Linked DNA regions of Saccharomyces cerevisiae S288C. The protein of the gene in region 1 interacts with the protein of each later gene in a biochemical or structural test. Each region holds a gene or a part of one and is shown on either strand. Other genes may lie near its edges.

What was found.
Region 2: the proteins of HAP4 (region 1) and HAP5 form a complex in vitro, tested with the Saccharomyces cerevisiae proteins (2 studies listed by BioGRID).

Annotation. Positions count from the first base shown.
Region 1 is NC_001143.9:230,520-234,277, forward strand, and holds HAP4 (transcription factor HAP4), read left to right. Parts: upstream 1-1,707; coding exon 1,708-3,372; downstream 3,373-3,758.
Region 2 is NC_001147.6:1,008,299-1,011,526, forward strand, and holds HAP5 (Hap5p), read left to right. Parts: upstream 1-1,862; coding exon 1,863-2,591; downstream 2,592-3,228. Other genes in the region: CIR2 (electron-transferring-flavoprotein dehydrogenase), read left to right, coding at 1-818; SNX3 (Snx3p), read right to left, coding at 926-1,414; VTS1 (Vts1p), read left to right, coding at 2,891-3,228. UniProt on the Saccharomyces cerevisiae protein: Acts a component of the CCAT-binding factor, which is a transcriptional activator and binds to the upstream activation site (UAS2) of the CYC1 gene and other genes involved in mitochondrial electron transport and activates their expression.

The sequences.
Region 1 (3,758 bases):
ATATGTCGGGCTTGCTTGCGAAAGCAAGGGGTTCAATAAACAGAAAACAGAGTTTTTGGATAAAGTTTAAACAACGGAAACAGAGCAACAATGAAGGAGAGAATAAGTATCAATTGTGTAATTCTGTATACCGTAGTGCACAGTACGCTGTGCGCAACTCTTGCCTAAAAAATCTAGTTATCAAGCGGGGTGAATATGCTACAATGCCTCTTTTACGTTGTACTCTATCAAGGGATGATAGCAGTGGCACATATTGATTGATACGACTTTTCGCCGCGCGGTAGGCGAAAAGCAAAGAAAACTACAGTAATATCCAGAAATAGATGCATTTTATGTGCGAAATAAAACTCATGCTGAAAAAAATAGTAATAATTAATAGGGTAACGAATAGAATGCAAACCTTATCACGTGAAAGAGAGAACAATCATAAATGATTTAGTGCGTAGGTCCAGATTTGCGAAACACTGCGGAAGGCGAGAAAAGAATTCGAATATGAAGTAGGTAGAAGCAGAGGTAGGGCCGCTATTTAAAGATATACTTTTTCTGTACGGGCCGGTGACTTCGCAGTAGTGATGTACTATGAGATCACTATTTTGCCGGAAACTGTAGGCAAAAACCGTTTATGTCTTTTTTTCACCTTACGGGATAACCTCTGCTGAGAATTTCCAAAACTAGGCATGGATGATTGCCGGAATTTGAAACCCGGGCCCCGGAGGTTGATCGCACGGCAAATACATAAGAACCTTCTCCGCAATACGGGCTTTCCTCAATTTTCTTGGCCAAAAAGCGAGTCGGCCCCGAGCTACAAATCGGGAACAACGGAGGAATAGAGCGACAAGTTGATTCGGTCGTGCAGCCCGGAAAAAAAAGGCTGTCCTGCGGGCTTTATTCACTCCAATGCCGCTGAGAGGAACACGCGTTTCGTGGGCTTTGGACCACTACCCCGGCGTTCAGAGAAACCCCCCGGGGCAGGGGTCCGAAGTCTAAAAGTTTAATCCGGAAGTAGCGACGGGGGGGAAGCCCGCCGCGCACAGATGGCCAGCACAACGGAGCGGGGCCGAGGCGGCAAACGAGGTTAAGCCCGCTGAACCTGAAAAAAAAAACGAAAATTTTCTTTCATCAAGGACTAAAGTTTTCTTATGTTACGGATCTTGCACGCGGTAAGCAATGGCCGTAGCCTTTTCACAGTTGCTTCCAAGTGTCATGTATCGATTTTGCAGATTGTTCTAAAAGTAAATGGATTGCTATTTTCTTTCCGAGACTACTCTAAAAAAATTTATTGAGTATGAGATCGTTTTTAGATAAATTATATATATTGTAAAGCTATTAACTAATCTCCTATATCAATTTCTTCTTGCTTAACCCCGTGTGGTTGTTTAGGTCCATCTCCTTTTTCCTTTTAATTTTTTTACCTTTATTAATTCCTTCACCTCTCTAAACCCCAGTTTTATATCGTATATGCTATCTACAGGTCCACTTTACACTTAATAATATAAAAATACTACTATAAAGGAACCAGAAAAATAAAAAAGGGTCATTATTTATTTGAGCAGATCATTATCAAACGCATAGGAAGAGAAAAAACACAGTTTTATTTTTTTTCCACACATATTTATTGGTCTCCTAGTACATCAAAGAGCATTTTAATGGGTTGCTGATTTGTTTTACCTACATTTTCTAGTACAAAAAAAAAACAAAAAAAGAATCATGACCGCAAAGACTTTTCTACTACAGGCCTCCGCTAGTCGCCCTCGTAGTAACCATTTTAAAAATGAGCATAATAATATTCCATTGGCGCCTGTACCGATCGCCCCAAATACCAACCATCATAACAATAGTTCGCTGGAATTCGAAAACGATGGCAGTAAAAAGAAGAAGAAGTCTAGCTTGGTGGTTAGAACTTCAAAACATTGGGTTTTGCCCCCAAGACCAAGACCTGGTAGAAGATCATCTTCTCACAACACTCTACCTGCCAACAACACCAATAATATTTTAAATGTTGGCCCTAACAGCAGGAACAGTAGTAATAATAATAATAATAATAACATCATTTCGAATAGGAAACAAGCTTCCAAAGAAAAGAGGAAAATACCAAGACATATCCAGACAATCGATGAAAAGCTAATAAACGACTCGAATTACCTCGCATTTTTGAAGTTCGATGACTTGGAAAATGAAAAGTTTCATTCTTCTGCCTCCTCCATTTCATCTCCATCTTATTCATCTCCATCTTTTTCAAGTTATAGAAATAGAAAAAAATCAGAATTCATGGACGATGAAAGCTGCACCGATGTGGAAACCATTGCTGCTCACAACAGTCTGCTAACAAAAAACCATCATATAGATTCTTCTTCAAATGTTCACGCACCACCCACGAAAAAATCAAAGTTGAACGACTTTGATTTATTGTCCTTATCTTCCACATCTTCATCGGCCACTCCGGTCCCACAGTTGACAAAAGATTTGAACATGAACCTAAATTTTCATAAGATCCCTCATAAGGCTTCATTCCCTGATTCTCCAGCAGATTTCTCTCCAGCAGATTCAGTCTCGTTGATTAGAAACCACTCCTTGCCTACTAATTTGCAAGTTAAGGACAAAATTGAGGATTTGAACGAGATTAAATTCTTTAACGATTTCGAGAAACTTGAGTTTTTCAATAAGTATGCCAAAGTCAACACGAATAACGACGTTAACGAAAATAATGATCTCTGGAATTCTTACTTACAGTCTATGGACGATACAACAGGTAAGAACAGTGGCAATTACCAACAAGTGGACAATGACGATAATATGTCTTTATTGAATCTGCCAATTTTGGAGGAAACCGTATCTTCAGGGCAAGATGATAAGGTTGAGCCAGATGAAGAAGACATTTGGAATTATTTACCAAGTTCAAGTTCACAACAAGAAGATTCATCACGTGCTTTGAAAAAAAATACTAATTCTGAGAAGGCGAACATCCAAGCAAAGAACGATGAAACCTATCTGTTTCTTCAGGATCAGGATGAAAGCGCTGATTCGCATCACCATGACGAGTTAGGTTCAGAAATCACTTTGGCTGACAATAAGTTTTCTTATTTGCCCCCAACTCTAGAAGAGTTGATGGAAGAGCAGGACTGTAACAATGGCAGATCTTTTAAAAATTTCATGTTTTCCAACGATACCGGTATTGACGGTAGTGCCGGTACTGATGACGACTACACCAAAGTTCTGAAATCCAAAAAAATTTCTACGTCGAAGTCGAACGCTAACCTTTATGACTTAAACGATAACAACAATGATGCAACTGCCACCAATGAACTTGATCAAAGCAGTTTCATCGACGACCTTGACGAAGATGTCGATTTTTTAAAGGTACAAGTATTTTGAAATAGGCATGTTGCAATAAAACGAAAACAACTAAAAATCACGAAAACAAAATGATATTATACAATAAAAAATTCTTATTATGGGTAATGATAGTATTCTTCGCCTGCTTAGGCGTCCTTTTCCTTCAACAACAAAAATTCCAAAAAAAAAAAGTAAAAAAACAAAACTTTGATTGTTTTTTAATGATGTTAATGATTTTTTTTTTCTTTCTTTATCATAAAAAAAAAGTTAAAATGAAAAACAAATATGGGTCTGGAAGGCCATTATTTTTTTTTTATTTATATACCGTTTCTGGTACTTAGTTATTTATTCTCATACATACACTATATTCAAATTACCTAAGAGCATTTTCACATATCCGTTTACTTTCATTTTTTTTTTTTTTG
Region 2 (3,228 bases), on another chromosome or scaffold:
CAAGAGCATTGAATGAAGGTGGACTGCAATCTGTACCCAAGTTGAATTTCCCTGGTGGTGTTTTGGTAGGGGCTAGCGCGGGTTTCATGAACGTTCCAAAGATCAAGGGTACTCATACTGCGATGAAGAGTGGATTACTTGCCGCTGAAAGTATCTTTGAGTCCATAAAAGGGTTACCTGTCTTAGAAGAGGTTGAAGACGAAGACGCCAAAATGGCTATGTTTGATAAGGAGGCAACTATTAACTTGGAATCATATGAAAGTGCATTCAAAGAATCATCGATATATAAGGAACTATACGAAGTGCGTAATATTAGACCGTCCTTCAGCGGGAAACTTGGTGGATATGGTGGTATGATCTACTCTGGAATCGATTCTTTGATATTGAAGGGAAAAGTTCCGTGGACACTGAAATTTGATGAAAAAAATGACGGTGAAATTTTGGAACCTGCTTCCAAGTACAAACCGATAGAATACCCCAAGCCTGATGGTGTGATATCCTTTGATATATTGACCTCCGTGTCTAGAACCGGAACCTACCATGATGATGATGAACCATGTCACTTGAGGGTTCCTGGACAAGATATGGTAAAGTACGCCGAGAGAAGCTTTCCCGTTTGGAAAGGTGTTGAATCGAGGTTCTGCCCAGCAGGTGTCTACGAATTCGTCAAAGATGAAAAATCGCCTGTGGGTACGAGACTGCAAATCAATTCACAAAATTGTATCCATTGCAAGACCTGTGATATTAAGGCGCCCAGACAAGATATTACTTGGAAAGTACCCGAAGGTGGAGATGGACCAAAGTACACGCTAACTTAATCACAGGATTCATTATTTATTTAATTATTTTATTCATTATTTATTTAAATTTTTCTATTCATTCTTTTATATAATCTATATTATTTATTCACGTAAAAGAGTTCTTTTCAGCCGACAAACTTTTCAGCTTCAATGAACCTCACGAGAACTTTAGAACCAGATTGTAAAAGCGGGTGCCCGGCTACCGATTGCATCCAGGTATTCAAACCTTGTCTCCTCTCTTCAATGACTTCGTTACTAAATCTATTACTCAAGAGAATTTTACCCGGTAAATGAGGTACCATGACTTTTGGGTGATTAAGCATAGAAATTTCCTTGATCAAGCATTTGCGGAAGAATTCAAAGTCTGAGTATCGTCTCCTTACTTTCGATACCCTCTTGTGAAAACTTGGCAAGTTTGTACGGCATATTATTTCGTAATCTGTAAACATCCCCTTCGAATCCATCCCATTTGGTATATGAGTTTTAGGGTTGTGCACCTCAATCTCTAAAAAGTTCTCAGGCTCAGCGTATATTTCGCTGTAACTAGGCTCTCCATGTCCTTTTGACAGCAAAGACTTTTCTGTAGACCCAAAGGATTTGAATTCTCTTGGCATACTTTGTGTAGATGCGTACCGCTTCTCAGCTGTTCTTGCCGTCCTCTTTTATGCAGTATTAAGATCCGTTTTAATCCATTCATTCATTGCAGGTTTACATATCAATACATATCACTTAGTACGTGATAGTGCCCAAAGCTATCCTCGAGTTCACTTATGCAATTCTGAGCACCCCATAGCCAAGTCCTCATAGTAAATCATGGTCCCTCCTAGCGCAATACTTACTAGAGTGTAGAAATCCCGAAATGTCAAAATCGAAGAGTGTTGTGCTCCCTTTTCCGTAGTTAAACTTAAATTTGCGTGGGACGGCTCCCTTAAGATTGCTTCCGGAGATTAAGCTTCCTTAGCTGCTATAATACCGCGTAAGCAAAGAAGAAGAATAGAGGGGAATAGGAGATAATGTAAGAGTTGTGACGCATTTGCAGCATCAGGATTGTTTACTCGCATAATGACTGATAGGAATTTCTCACCACAACAAGGACAAGGACCTCAAGAATCGCTCCCGGAGGGACCGCAACCCAGTACGATGATTCAGAGAGAGGAAATGAATATGCCAAGGCAATATTCAGAACAGCAACAACTGCAAGAAAACGAAGGGGAAGGGGAAAATACGAGGCTACCTGTTTCTGAGGAAGAGTTCCGGATGGTACAGGAGTTGCAAGCTATCCAGGCGGGCCATGACCAAGCTAATCTACCGCCAAGTGGTCGAGGATCGCTTGAAGGCGAAGATAATGGAAACAGCGACGGCGCAGACGGAGAAATGGACGAGGACGATGAAGAGTATGATGTGTTTAGGAACGTTGGTCAGGGATTGGTGGGCCACTACAAGGAGATAATGATCCGTTATTGGCAAGAATTAATCAACGAGATCGAGTCTACGAATGAACCTGGTTCCGAGCATCAAGATGACTTCAAATCACATTCCTTACCATTTGCGAGAATCCGCAAGGTCATGAAGACGGATGAAGATGTCAAGATGATTAGTGCAGAGGCCCCCATCATTTTCGCCAAAGCCTGTGAGATCTTTATTACAGAACTGACTATGAGAGCTTGGTGCGTGGCAGAAAGGAATAAAAGACGAACTTTGCAGAAGGCAGATATCGCAGAGGCCCTGCAAAAGAGTGACATGTTTGACTTTCTCATCGATGTTGTGCCTAGAAGACCTCTTCCACAATGAGAGAGTTAATGGTTATACAGCTGCCATTTGACCGTGCACCACAGCAAATTATCTGTTGGAAAAAGAAAAAACGCAAATTTTTTTCATTATTTTTTTCCAGAATAAGTTTGGTAGCAAATTGGCGATGAGATATCTAACAACGACTACTACTACTACCATAGGATTGTCTCGAATACATTGTGTTTTGCAGTCACACTGGTACTTCGTCCCTTGGGCAATCTAGATCACTGTATATACTATAGATATTGTTTTCAGAAGAGAAAAACTGTTCATATAAAGTAATTGTCAGCAAAGAAATCATGAAACATCCGTATGAGGAATTCCCCACAGGTTCCAAGTCACCATATAACATGTCTAGAGGAGCTCATCCAGGCGCCGTTTTGCTATCACCACAATCTTCTGCCATAAACAAGAACAATCCGGGCAGCAATTCTGGCAATAACCAGGGCAATTCATCCGTGACCGCGAATGTTTTGTCCCCTCAATCCCATAGTATGTCACTCAATGACATGCTTGATCAGCAATCCTTTATGCTAGACACTGCGGGAACCAGGGCTCAGCCGCTCCAGCAACAACAGCAGCAGCAACAACAGCAACAGCAGGCGTCGTTGCCTTCCCTTAATATTCAAACAGTTTC